2 linked regions of the Stegostoma tigrinum genome follow. The protein of the gene in region 2 purifies or fractionates together with the protein of the main gene of each other region. This does not show direct contact. Links are inferred from orthologs where the notes say so. Each region holds a gene or a part of one and is shown on either strand. Other genes may lie near its edges.

Evidence for each region.
Region 1: the proteins of flii (region 2) and lrrfip2 purify together in Homo sapiens (affinity purification with mass spectrometry; 3 studies listed by BioGRID and IntAct, with this or other methods). This does not show direct contact. The link is inferred for Stegostoma tigrinum from reciprocal best matches to the Homo sapiens genes FLII and LRRFIP2.

The regions. Positions count from the first base shown.
Region 1 is NC_081358.1:6,313,443-6,321,046, forward strand, and holds the start of lrrfip2 (leucine-rich repeat flightless-interacting protein 2), read left to right. Parts: upstream 1-4,604; 5' UTR 4,605-4,837; intron 4,838-7,202; 5' UTR 7,203-7,287; coding exon 7,288-7,377; intron 7,378-7,604. UniProt on the Homo sapiens protein: May function as activator of the canonical Wnt signaling pathway, in association with DVL3, upstream of CTNNB1/beta-catenin.
Region 2 is NC_081376.1:25,218,568-25,225,536, reverse strand, and holds the start of flii (protein flightless-1 homolog), read right to left. Parts: upstream 3,027-6,969; 5' UTR 2,977-3,026; coding exon 2,914-2,976; intron 1-2,913. UniProt on the Homo sapiens protein: Is a regulator of actin polymerization, required for proper myofibril organization and regulation of the length of sarcomeric thin filaments. It also plays a role in the assembly of cardiomyocyte cell adhesion complexes.

The DNA of each region.
Region 1 (7,604 bases), on a different chromosome or scaffold from region 2:
CTTCTGGGTCAACAGTCTCTTCCATTTTGCCCAGTTTTCATCTCTTCTCTCATTACCCTTCACTCTGGCTCTGTATTCGGGCCCTCAGCCCTCTCCCAAATGCTGCTGTCTTTTGGTTCTTGGCCCAATGGTATCTAACGTCACAGTCCAGCTCTATTTAGACACCGAGATAATAAAATGTGAGGCTGGATGAACACAGCAGGCCAAGCAGCATCTCAGGAGCACCTGAGATGCTGCTTGGCCTGCTGTGTTCATCCAGCCTCACATTTTATTATCTTGGAATTCTCCAGCATCTGCAGTTCCCATTATCTCTGATTCTATTTATACACCCTCAGGTCTCTCCAATCCACACTGATTTCCAAATGTTTGCCATATGACCTCTTGCACACCTGTGGGTGCCTTCCACGTCTCCAATCTGACTCTACTCTCTGGCTACGGGCCTCTCCTATCAGCTGTTAATTTCTGGCTCTCGGGCCATTTCTTCGAGTTTTATGTTCTCAAATCTGGCCTTTATTTTGATGTTTTCTGGCTCACTGGTCAAACCCATTATAGCTAACTTTTCAGCCCTCAGTGTGCTCCCTCTGGTGCTGTTTTGTGGCTGTGGGACCAGTCTCTTGTGCTGTTTTCCAGCTCTCAAACCAGTCTGCACATGTGCTGGTTTTGAGTTCTCAGATCTGTTCCCACTTGTGCTTTTGAACCTCACCACTGTCATGCTGCATTCTACGTCTTGAACTACTACCCACTCTCACTATTTTCCAGCTCACAGACCACCACATCACACAGTGCTTTTGAACTACTCAGAGCTCTCCCTCTCGTGCTATTTTTGATCTCTTAAACCCCATACTGCACACCCTTGTTTTTGAGCCTTCACATCACGCGGTTCTTCATTTCCCATATGTCTTTATGCTTGGACAATTTTCAATCTCTTAATTTCCTTCCCAACTCACCCTACATCACAGAACATATACTTCCAAATGCTTGTGCTGTTTTCAAGCTCTCACCTCAATCTGTTTTCCCGGGCTCAGATCTCCTCCCCTCTTGAAATGCATCATAGCACACAGACCTCAATACTCAACATGTTTTCAAGCAGTCATCACTCTCCTTGCTGTGTTTTTCAGGTCTCAGATCTCTTCCTTCTTGTGGTATATCCAGCTAGATTATCTATCTTTGAAGTGCCATCAATACTACCTATCACGCGAGTTCACCTCCACTATCCTGATAGCAGTCTCCATAACACCCTACGCTATACACTGCTACAAATGGAATTGAGGTGGAATGCCTCTAGGCACTCATTATAGACAGCAACATCAACCAGGCCAACCTCAACAGTATGCTACCAAAATACTATCAACATGCTTCCTGCCCCATCAAGGGCTGAACATCCTTGACCATTGCTACACACCTGTCAGAGATGCCTACTGCTGCATACCCCATCTACATTCCGAAAATCAGATCACAACGCAGTGTTGCCCGTCACAGCTTACAAGCAGAATTTGAAACATGAGGACATTGTACAGAAAGTAGCAGTGTTATTCCGAGGTACTGTTGGAGCTTCTATGGGAGTGCTTTGAATCGGTGGACTGGTCCATTTTCAAGAATTCAGCGGCCAATCTAGATGAGTATGCTATTACCATTAAATAATTCATTAGCACTTGTGTGGAAGGATGTGTGACAAAATACTCAAACCGAATAGTCCCCAATCAGAAAGCATGGATGAAGCGGAGATCCATTGCCAACTAAAGTCCAGGTTTGTGGCATTCAAGTCAGATGACCCTAATGTTTACAGGAAATCCAGATGTGACCTCCATAAAACCATGAGACAGCCTCCAATGTATCTGTTCCATCATTCACCATTGCAGATGTCAGACCTTTATGAGTGAACCACAGAAAACGACTGGCCGATATGGAGTCCCCCACCATGCACTCAGATTATGCATGTACCAGCTGGCAGGAGTAGTCGCTGACATTTTTAACTTCTCCTTTCTACAATCTGTAGTCCCCACCTGCTTCAAGAAGACCACCATCAGGCCGGTACCAGAAAAACTTCATGCAGCTTGCCTCAATGACTACCACCCAGTGGCTCTGACCTCCACAATTATGAAGTGCTTTGAAAGGTCAGTCATGGCTCATGTCAACTCCAGCCTCCCCTGATCCCTGGCAACTCACTTACCGTTGCAACAGGTTCATATCAGACACCATCTCCCTGTCCTTACAGTCATCCCTGGAATAAAAGGATACCTACATCAGTCTTCCACTCATTGACTCCAGCACTGCCTTTAATACTATAATTCCAACTAATCGTCAAACTCCAAGACCTAGGTTTTTAATCCGCGCTCTGCAACTGGATCCTTGACTTTCTGACCCACAGACTGCAGTCAATGAGAATAGGCAAGAGCACCTCCTCCATGACAATCTCAACACCAGCGTTGTGCAAGGCCCTCCATGTATACTCATGATTGTGTTGTCAAATCAAACTCTGGCAACAAGTTTGTTAATAACACCACCATGATAATCTGGATCTCAATGACAAGACAGAATAAACGAAAGAGGTAGAGTGTTTGGTGGTGTGGTGTGAAGATAACAATCTCACCCTCAAACGTCAGTAAAATGAAAGAGCTGGTCATTGACTTCCGGAAGAAAGGTTGAGGGCACGCCCCTGTCTGCATCAATGGATCTGAGGTGGAGATGGTTAAGAGCATCAAATTCCTAGGAGTGATGATAACCAAAATTGATGCAGTGGTCAAGAAAGCACTACAGCACATGTATTTCCTCAGGAGGCTAAGGAAATTTGGCATGTCCAAAAGACTCTTACCAATTTTAATAAATGCTCCATAGAAAGCATTCTATCTTGATGCATCACAGCTTGGTACGGCAACTGCTTTGGCCAGGATTGTGAGAAACTACAGAGTGTCGTGAACATAGCCCAGTAATTCACACAAGCCAACCTTCCATCCAGTGACTCCATCTATACTTCTCATTGCCCCAGTAAGGCAGCCAACATAATCAACGATCCCTCTCACCCTGGTTATAATCTCTTCCAACCACTTCCATTAAGCAGAAAAGGCAAAAGCTTAAATGCATGTACGAAACAGATTCGAGAACAGCTTCTTCCCTGACTTTGGAATGGACCTCTCCAAATTTAATGTCGACCTCGCTATTTGTACATCTTCTCTGCAACCGTAACATTGTATTCCATGCTGTGTTCTCTTACCCTCTGCACTTTGGCTGGTATGATCTGCCAGTACTGCACAAGAAACAAAACATCTCATGGTCCCTAGCTAGACATGACAATAATATATGAAATTCTAAAAAACAAATCAGCTCTCTGACCCTTCCATCTCATGCTGTTTTCCAGCTCTAGTCCTATTATGCCTTGCGCTTTTTGCAAGCTGCGGCAGGACTCCCCTTTCGTCTTGGTTTTTGAGGTCTTGCACCTTTCCCTTTGGATGTTTTCCGGCTCTTGGGTCTCTCCCATCCAGCACTATTTTTCAGTCCTCAGGACTGTCCCACATGGTGCTGTTTTCCCAGTTGTCAGGCCCTTCCAGTTTTCAGTCTTTTCCCTAATATTGGGAGACCTGCTGAGCTTTTCCAGCTACTTGTTTTTGTTTGATATCAACTGCAGTGCCTTCCTCAGCACATCGCAAGAAAAAAAATTCATTCAGGACTCTGAGAATAGTAGAAACTGCAGATGTTGGAGAATCTGAGATAACAAGGTGTGGAGCTGAATGAACACAGCTGGCCAAGCAGCATCAGAAGAGCAGGAAGGCTGACATTTCGGGCCTGGACCCTTCTTCAGAAATGGGGGAGGGGATGGGGGGGTTCTGAAATAAATAGGGAGGCAGATCAGAGATGGATAGAGGAAGAAGATAGGTGGAGAGGAGACAGACAGGTCAAGGAGGTGGGGATGGCGAGCAGTTTCAAGGCTGAAGAGATTACGAGAGAGTTGCAGTGGGAGAGAGATCTCTTGAAGTTTGTCCGGAGGCAGGAGGGTAACTTCTTCAGGGTAGGCATCGTTAGAAGAGGCTTCACAGTGGGGTTAAAATTGTATCAGAGATAAGAGGAGCTGAAGATGCTGGAGAATCCAAGATACCAAGGTGTAGAGCTGGATGAACACAGCAGGCCAAGCAGCATCAGAGGAGCAAGAAAGCTGATGTTTGCCTGTTTTCCCTATCTGTCTCCTCTCCACCTATCTCCTCTATCCATCTTCGATCCGCCTCCCCACCCCCTCCTTATTTATTTCAGATTCCCCCTCCCCCTCCCCCTCCCCCATTCCTGATGAAGGGTCTAGGCCCGAAACGTCAGCTTTCCTGCTCCGAAGATGCTGCTTGGCCTGCTGTGTTCGTCCAGCTCGACACAGTGCTCATTCGGGACCTCCCTGACTTCCTACAACAAATGACCAAACGCTGAGCTTGTCATCTTCGCCACGGTCGCTCAAAAGGCTCTCCAAACCGCTCACAATCCCGCCTCGCCGAACGCGCACACATGCGCAGAACGTCGCCCCCGAGCGCATACCAACCCGAACTTGTAGCCTGTGCGCGTGCGCACCGAGCCGCCTCAACCAATGCTGGCGCGAGGCACGCGGTTAAGCGCATGCCCAGCGGGAGCCGTTGACGCATGCGTGCAAAGGAATTGGCGGAGTTGCCAGCTGGTGGTGGTTTAATTTTGGGATAGGGTTAGAGTTTTATTTTAAAATCCTCGTTTCAGGCGGAGCTAAAGCCGAGTGGTCGGATCAAGAAACGGGTTTGTTGGTGATGTTTGAACGGGTGGCTCAGCTGGTGACGAGACGAATGGCTGGTTGATTGTCCAGGACTGACCGAAGGAGTGGCCGAGCCGCTTGGTAAGACAACCTCGGGGCCGACTGATCACCAGCACCGCACCTCCGTTCCGTTCCCCCGGCAAGATCGGCGGATAGGCCTTAATCTCCTTTGCCGACCTCGAGGGCTTTTCAAGCCCCTTTTCCTGGCCTGTCGCCCCGAGCTTGACTTGGTCTTAGCCTGGCCTATTGTCACTGTTGGAGAGAGCAGGTCTGAGCCGCGCTGCTGGTGTCAGCCCGGGGCCGGGCCGCTTCCTGCGCTGTACCGCCCTTGCATTGCTTACATTCAAACTCAACTTTTGGCTCCTGTCCAGGATTACTACCTTTTATTCAAAAAATCATGTCTCCGAACCTGCGGAGTTAGCTTGAGGTGAAATGGGTTACCTTGGCGATGAGAGGGCAGTCATGCTGCATTCCAGAGCAGTTTGCTGTCAAACTTCACTGCAGGTTATGAAGACCCAGTGATGACAGGAGTGATAGGAGAGCAGTATAGATAGACATTTTGCTGCCATATCGACTTCTGCTTGGTAGTGATTGTTGAGTTTGTTTATTGTCGTAGCTTCTTGACTATTTTACATGATTGTACTTTTGTTTGAATTCTGCATATTGATTTTCCTAGCTGTAGTTGTTTCCTCTTGACTCCTTTTGGCTTTTGTGCATCTACCCTTTTCTGGCATCTGTAGCTATGTATTAAGTTGCATAGATGTTAAATCCCTTTTTGTATCTCGAATACTGTTCCCTTTTATTAAATCCACCCTTTGACCAAGCTTTGGATCATCCTTCTTAATCTCTTTTTGGTTTGAACTCTGTTTTCTTCTGGCTTCTGTCAAGCACCTCTGTATATTCTTCTAGATTTAATATATAGATAAAACTGCACAATGGTTAACAAGAAGACTCCAATTTGAAACTTTTTTAAACGTCTAGACAGCAGTTTGATGTTGGCACATTGACACTGCAGTATTATGTGCTGAAATGTCATGATGCTTTGCACCTGTTAGCTGTATGACTATGAAAAAAGGAGTTGACCTTCTCCTAGTTACTGGGCTAATTGTTTTTTACATCACAGATAGCTTTACAGTCTTCACATTATTCACAACTTATTTTGTATTCATTTCTTTGTCCAAAATGAATGTCAGAACACTAATTATTTTAATAGTTTGCAACTTTAGTGTTGAAGCAAAAAAGTTGAAGTATAAGTATTGAGACATTACAGTCTGGTTTGAGATCAAGTTATGTTAATTTCTGTTAAATGACATTAACCAGTGAAAGTCATGGGAAATTGCAGCATTAGGATTTGCAGCATAATTTGTCAAACGATATTCTTGTCCCCTGAAGATCATAAGTATTAGAAATAAGAGTAGGCCAATTTGTCCCCTTCTGTCTGTTCTGTCATTCTATAGGATCACGGCTGTTCTGACTTTACTCACGTCCACTTTCTTGCATTTTGTCCGTAACTCCAATTCCCCTCCAAATCAAGAATCTGATCCTTAAATACAAAGGACTCTACCCTTTGTAGCTAGGAGTTCCAAAGACTCACTTCCCATTGGGATAAGGAGGAATTTCTTCTGTCGTAAATTGGCACCCCTCAATCCTGAGACTGTGCCCTCTGTACCTACATTCTCCAGTGAGGAGGAACATCCCCTCAGCATTTTCCTTGTCGACTCACTTCAGAATCGTAAATATTTCACCTGAGATCACCCCTCATTCTTAACTCCAGTGAATACGGTACCAACTTGTTTGGCTGTTCTTCATAAGACAGCTGCTTTATTGAGATCATTGTAATAACAAATATAGAAATTAGGAGCAGGAGTAGACCACTTGACCCCTTGAGTCTGCTGTACTATTCAGTATGATCATCAATCTCAGTACTCTAATTGCTTCTTCCCCCATATTCCTTGATCTCTTTAGTCACACAAGCTGTATCTACCTCCTTCCTTAACACAATATTTTGGCCTTGACCACTTTCTGTGGTTGTGAATTGCACAGGGGTGACACTCTGGGCGAAGAAACCTCTCATTTCAAAACTAAAAACCATACTTCTCATTCTTAAACCATGAACCCTGGTTCTTGACTCCACCCACCATCTGGAACATCCTTCCTGCATCTCGCTTGTCTTGTCCTGTTAGAATTTAATACTTCCCAAGTGATGTGATTCCCTTCCCCTAACCCTGTTAACGTTCTCTCTGAACTGCCTTCAATGAAATGAAACCCTACCTTAAGGGCACCAGATCTGTTCTCAGTACTCCAAAAATAGTCTCAGCAGCACTGCGTACTTCCCTGATCTTATGCCCCAACCTTTGAAATTAGGGCCTATGTTCTATTAATTTGTGACATGTAATTATTCTTTGGAGGAGAACAATTTTGGTAAGAATCTAATTTTGTCTTGTAGTACAACTGGTGGAAGGAGTTCCCCTCCAAATGGTATTCGATCTTATTGGTTTGGACTTGTAGAAGATTTTAATTGTTTGGAGAAAATGGGGACACCTGGATCTGGAAGGAAACGAACGCCTATTAAAGACAGATTCTCTGCTGAAGATGAGGCCCTGAGCCACATTGCCAGAGAGGTTGGTTGAAATTTAATTTTGAATGTTTCCATTATTATCAGCTGTTGTGATTATTCATCGTGGTGGGATGTTCTCACCTTTTATCTTCAGTTTATAGTTTAAATTCACATCCCCTCTAGGGTACACAATGCGACAAGCCAAGGCTTGTGACATACTTTGTATGAGTTGAACTACAGTTTTTATGCAAGTTCTGTTTCAGTATTGGAAAAGAATGCTGCTGCAATCTT
Region 2 (6,969 bases):
GTGACTGACTGAGTGGAGTCTGTACATTCACCCCGGGTCTGTGTGGATTTCCTCTGGTCACTCCAGTTTCCTCCCAAAGTCGAAAGATGTGCAGGTTAGAGGGATTGGCCATTGTAATTTGCCCTGTAGTGTCTAGGACTGCGCAGGCTAGGTGAGTTAGACATGGTAAATACAGGGTTACAGGGATAGGGTGGAAGTTGGGTCTGAGTGGAATGCTCTTCAGAGGGTCAGCACAGAGTCAATGGGGTGAATGGCTGCTTTATGTACCGTTGAGATTCTATGATATAGACATCAGTTAATAAAGCTGAAACTGGGCTTTATTAATTAGTGAGAGACAAAGCAACTGCAGATGATGGCATCCAAGGTAGACAAACGGGAAGCCAGAAGAACACATCAAGCCAGGCAGTATCTGGAGGAAAGGAGAAGTCAACATTTCAGGCATTAGCCCTTTTCAGGGCTGAAGAAAGATAATGCCCAAAACGTTGACTTCTCCTTTCCTCCAGATGCTGCTTGCTTGCTTGGCTTGCTTTGTTCTTCCAGCTTTCTGTTTGTCTACCTGTATTAAATGGCACTTGGAGTACAAGAACAAAGAGGTTAAGCTGAACCTATCCAAGATAGTTACAAAGTCATAGCTGTACAGCGCAGAAACAGACCATTCGGTCCAACTCTTCCATGCCGATCAGATATTGTAAACTGATCTAATCCCATTTACCAGTATTTGGCCCACATCCCTCTAAACCCTTCCTATTCATGCACCCATCCAGATGTAATTATACCTCGCTCCACCACCTCCTCCGGCAGGTAGCTCCATACATGCACTACCCTCTGAGAAAAAGTTGCCCTTAGGTCCCTTTTGAGTCTTTCTCCTCTCACCTTAAACCTGTGCCCTCTTGTTTTGGACTCCCCCAACCTGAGAAAAAGATCTTAGCTATTCACTCTATCTGCGCCCCTCATGATTTCATACACTTCTAAGGTCAGCTTCTGACACTACAGGAAAAACAAAGCCCCAGCTTTTTAAGCCTCCAACGTTGCCAATATCCTTGTAAATCTTTTCTGAACTCAAGTTTAACATCTTTCTTAAAGCAGGGAGATCAAAACTGAACCAGAATGTGGAGTAATCAGATCAATCACGATCCAAATCAAGAGTACAGCAGGCTTGAGGGTTAAGACATTTAAATTGTTTAACCTATCCTCAAACTCTAACTTAAAATGTGTGAACCCTTGAATTTAGAGGCGAAAGAATCAGAATGGTATTGTTATTTTTATTTAAATTGTGTTAAGTACAATTTTCTTCCATTCTTCACAAGATGAGGATGATGCTTGCTAGCCCACCAATTATTGTCCATCTCTAATTGCCCAGAGGGCAGTTAAGTGTCAACCACATTGCTGTGGACCTGGAGTCACACACAGGCCAGACCAGGTAAGGTTGGCAGCTTCCTTCCCTAAAAGGGCAACAGTGAACCACATAGGTTTTTCCTGACAATTGGCGATGGATTTGTAGTCATCACTTAACATTTAATTCCAGATTTTCACTGAATTAATATTCTACCATCTGCTGTAGCAGGATTCAAATCTGAGTCCTCAGAACAATATCTGGATCTTTGGATTAACAGGCCAACAATAATACCACTACGCTGTTGCCTCCCCTAGAATAATATTCTAGTTACATTTTAAGAACCTACAAAACACTTGTGTCTTCTCCAATCACAGTGCTTGAACAATTAAACACTGAATTGACAAGTGTATTCTGACTTTAAAAATCTTTATGGTCAAAGCAAGGCTGTCAAAAGGAAGTAATTCTACCATTCTCATAATAATATATTTCAAAAAAGGTCTCTTTGGCCCAATAAAGTTACATCCCTGGTGACAAGATTTAGGATGAGGTAATCCAATACCATAAATTAGTTATAAAAACTGACATGAGGCAGACAAAGTATGTGTTTATGTGTCTCTAGCTGCAAGAAAGTACAAGAGCTGATGAAGGGTCTAGGTCGGAAACATCAGCTTGTGTGCTCCTAAGATGCTGCTTGGCCTGCTGTGTTCCATCGTTCTGGAGTTGCCCCCATGATTTCCAACATTTGCCCAGGAGGCAGAGTAACAGGCTGACTAGACTAGCTCCTGAAAATGAGAAGATTGGTGGAGAGAAGATATTGAGTAGAGTAGGTCTACATTTCCTGTATTTTAGTAGAATGCGAGATGAGCAAAGTCAAACATCACATTTTGTAATATTTTCTAACAGAATTCATAGATAAATGCTGAGAAAACATTTCCTTAACTGAGAATTCTAGAACACAGGTCTCACAGCCTCAAATAAGGAGTCAAGCATTTAGACTAGCATTCGAACTGAATGACAGGGCTGATTGAGAATCGGAGAAGTTTATGCTTCACACCAGAGGCTCAATTGCGGAGCATATTCAAAACATAATGGAAGGATTCTTGGGTACTAAGGAAATCAAGAGATACGGGGATGATGTTGATTAGCCAGAAATTATGTTGAATGGTTCTGCTGAATGAAGGAATACGCATGAAAAGGCCACTAAACACAACTCTCATTTCTCAGATAACACGGTGTAGAGCTAGATGAACACAGCAGGCCAAGCAGCATCAGAGGAGTTGGAAAGCTGATGTTTCGGGTCGAGACACTTCTTCATATTTCTACTGAAGGAGCTAAGTAAATGCAAGCTGTTGTTTTAAAAGAAACGAAATAGGAGATAATGTTTTGCTATTATTATACAAACAGATAGGCAATATTTTAAAATCTAAATACAAAATTATTAAACGAACAACACAAGATTCCAGGTCTCAGTGCCGGGCCTCATCAACTTTACCGAAACAACTGATTGGTCAAACCCCACATTAACTCCACATCTGCTTACATTTCGTTTTATACTCAGAATAATGTAAGTGGCTTACTTTAAAATCGTTTCCACTTAAATCTACACCTCTAATGAAAGGCAACACCCCGGTGGCAGCCATGTTAACAGTGACAGTTGATCACGGACACCTCAGCCAAAAACCTTGCCTACCTTTCTCCACACCTCATTGGTTCACCGTCGCACTTAGCCGGGCCAAGCGCTGGGGTTCTGGATAATGATTGGTCCAATGTTATGTCAATAAGAGTACGGCCACAAAAGGTTGAGGCCCGATTTCCGCCCGGAATCGAAACGTCTGTAACTCCCCGCCCCTTCACCAGTCACGTGTGCGGGACATGGGTAGTTTCATTGGCTGCTTCAGATGTCAGTTACAGTCTGGGGGCGAGTCGTATCTATTCCAGGAAGAAATGAAATAATGGGGTGAGGAAGGAATAAGTGGCGCAGATCTCGAGTGACTTACCGGCTGCTAGTCTTTCGGGAAGCCGTAATATAGGCCTACCTCTCTTATCCAATCCATAGCAGCCTTGGCAGCCAGGGTTGTTGAATGATTGACAGCAACTGGTACCGGGTTTGCTGATCAATCCTGGCGAAAGCATGTTTGAAGTTGAATTGTAGTATTAATCTATAGGATTAGTTGTTCCAGTTATAATATCGGTTGTTGTTATTTACATGTTACCGCGAATGTACAACGATTAATTCGGAAATTAATACTAACTTTTGGTACACGTTTATTAAGGAAATTGTAAAATGTCAATTCAATTTGCAGATTGTATTTTTTTTCCCAAGTAACGTATATCAGTCTCTCAACTGAATTCAGGTTTCTTTTGCGCACGGTAATATCTTGTTAGTAGATCAGAGATAATGGGAACTGCAGATGCTGGAGAATCCGACACAACAAAGTGTGAAGCAGGATGCGCACAGCAGGCCAGGCAGCATCAGAAGAGCAGGAAAGCTGATGTTTTGGGTCTGGAACCTTCTTCAGAAATGGGGGAGGGGAAGGGGTCTCAAATAAATAGAGAGAAGGGGAGAGCGATGATGGGAGGTGGATAAAGGAGCAGATAGGTGGAGAGAAGACAGACAGGTCAAGGACGTGGGATGAGACTGGTAGGTAGGAGGTGGAGTGGGGGTTGGCCAGTGAGGTGGGAGAAAAGACGGACAGGTGAAAGAGGTGGGGATGAGCTGGGCTGGTTTTTGGGATGAGGTCATGGGTGGGAAGATTTTGAAGCTTGTGAGGTCCACATTGAAACCATTGCTGCAGGGTTATCAAGTGAAATATGAGGTGCTGTTCCTGCAGTGTTCAGGTGGCATCATTGTGGCACTAGAGGAGGCCCAGGATGGACATGGCATCCAAGGAGTGGGAGGGGGTGTTGAAGTGGTTCATGACTGGAAGGTGCAGTTGTTTGTCACAAACTGAGCGTATTTTGAGTTTCTACTTTTTCCTTGTTCAGTGGCTGCCCGTTGAGGCATCATTAGCCAACTGTAATTCACTCCCCCTATAGTTCACTTGATTATGCTTAGGCAACTGGAAGGGAAGTGAGAAGGGAACTATTCATGTTTTAATACGTTTTGTTTGTAATGCTTTCCTGAATTTTTCTTCACCTGAGTGCTTCTTCAAAATGACCAATATTGTTCAGGGAGAAGGAAACTGAAGAGACAGTGAGTTTGAAGATGTCATCAACTTCCTGCTGACAAATGCCCAGCTGGAGTTCGGGGAGCTGCTGTACTTGCTATTGCAGTGATGCTGCTGAAAGGCTGAGTTGGCCCATCTGCCATTTCTTGGTCAAGCTTCAACAATGTTATACTGTGACCATGTTGAGCCTGCATGCAGTTTACCACCTGGATATTCAATGTGCAACAGCGGTGACGTGATGTTTGAAAGAGGTGGATTGGCTGCTGATTACTGGACAGCATAGATTGCATGGGTTCAGTGTCAACCGCATTGTTGTAACATGGACTGTAGAACTGCACCGTGTGCTCTTTTTGAACTCTGGAACTCCAAATCATTCAGGGTTTCTGTTACTAGCTGCTCGTCAGTGGGATGGGTTAGATTTAGTTCTGTCAAATTATTAACATCTGAGTTTTTACATGGCACAGTTCAAGGAAACTTCTTGAGTTTCTCTGTATGTTTGCAGATGTTTGATAAAGCCAGTGACCCACCAGACAGCTCCCTAGATAAGCCAGTCACACAACCTACAAAAGAATACAACTAGATTGCCACATCCCCAAAACTGCTGAATTTACATTTGAGTGAATCCAAGCACAGAAAGCTGAATATCAAATCCAACCATTAAAAAAAATGTAAGTATCTCTTCCTAAGTTGTGATTTCCTGGGGCAGAAGGGACATGGAGGAAAACAATTTAGGGAATCGAAGTTTCAAACAAAAAACACGTCATAAAATCATTATGGGAAATGAGGAAAACTACCCAAATGAACTGGACAAAAGAGAAAGATGAAGGGACTAGGGAAATGTGGTTCCTACAATACATGCAGGACTCCTTTTGAACCTAATACATAATAAATACACAGAAGATTTGTTGATCCAGCACAGGTAAATGAAGTAAAGGTACAGCTGTGCTTTTCAAACTCTTTTTGTGATCGAGTGCAAGAGTGGAGTGACGGAGTTGAGAGCTGGTGGTTGTTAGAGCAGGAGCGCAGCTGTTGTAACTTGGTCAGAGCTCCAAGGTAGTCATTTCTGGGAAGTTCAAAAGTAAAGACACTTTTGGCAGTATTGACCATGAGGACATAGGAATATCATAAGCAAAGAAGAGATTGGACACATGGAAGCCAGGAAACTTAGGAAATAAATAGTGATGTCTTAAAAAGAGTCCACATTACAGAAGAGAAGGTGCTGGAAATCTTAAAACGCATAATGATTGATAAATCCTGGGAACTGATCAAGTGTATCACAGGACACTGTGGGAAACTAAGGATGAAATTGCAGGGCTCCTAGAAGAGATATTTGTATCATCTACAGAAAGGGGTGAGGTGCTGGAAGGCTGGGGAGTTGCTAAAGTTGTACCTTTTATTTATGAAAGGCTGCAAGGAAAAACCAGGGAACTATAAACTGGTGAACCTGACATTGGTGACAGATAAGTTATTGGAGGGGAGTCTGAGAGATGGGATTTGCATGAATTTGTAAAGGCAAGGACTCATTCTCATGAGGGATTAAAACTGAAAGAACTGCAGGTTCAAATCAGGAACAAAACAGAAGTTTCTGGAAAAGCTCAGCGGGTCTGGCAGCTTCTGAAGAAAATTCACAGTTAACATTTCGGGCTCCATGAGCCTTCCCTTCTGAGGAAGTGTTACTGGACTCAAAATGTTAACTGTGATTTTTCTTCACTGATAAGGGATAGTCAGCATGCTTTGTGTGGGAACTCATGTCTCACGGACTTGAATATGTTTTTTTTTGAAGATAGATGAAGGCAGAGTGGTAGACGTCATCTACATGGACTTTAGCAAGGCCTTCAACAAGGTGCCATGTGGCAAATTGGTTAGGAAAGTTTGATCACATGGGATCCAGGGAGAGATTGCCAACTGGATACAAAACTGGCCTGACGGTAGGAGACAGGGTGGTAGTAGAGGGTTGTTGTTCTGACTGGAGGCCTGTGACGAGCAATGTGCAACAAAAATCAGTGCTGGGTCCGCTTTTGTTTGTCATTTACAAAAATGGTTTAGATGAAAATATGGGAGGCATGGTTAGTAAGTTTGTGGATGACACCAAAATTGACACCAAAATAATGGACAGTGAAGAAGGTTTCCTAAGAGTACAATGAGATCTTGGCCTGCTGGGCCAATGAGCGGAGGAATGGCAGATGGAGTTTAATTTCGATAAATGTTCCATTTTGGTACGACAAACTAGGACAGGACTTGCATAGTTAAAGGTTGGACTCTGGGGAGTGTTGTTGAATAGAGAAACCTGGGGGTTCAGATACATAGTTCCTTGAAAATGGTGTCACAGGTAGACAGGGTGGTGAAGCTGGCATTTGGCATTCTTGCCCTCATTGGTCAGGGCATTGGGGACCGCGATTGCGGCATCATATTGTGGCTCTATATGGCGTTGGTGAGGCTACCTTTGAAATACTGTGCACAGTTCTA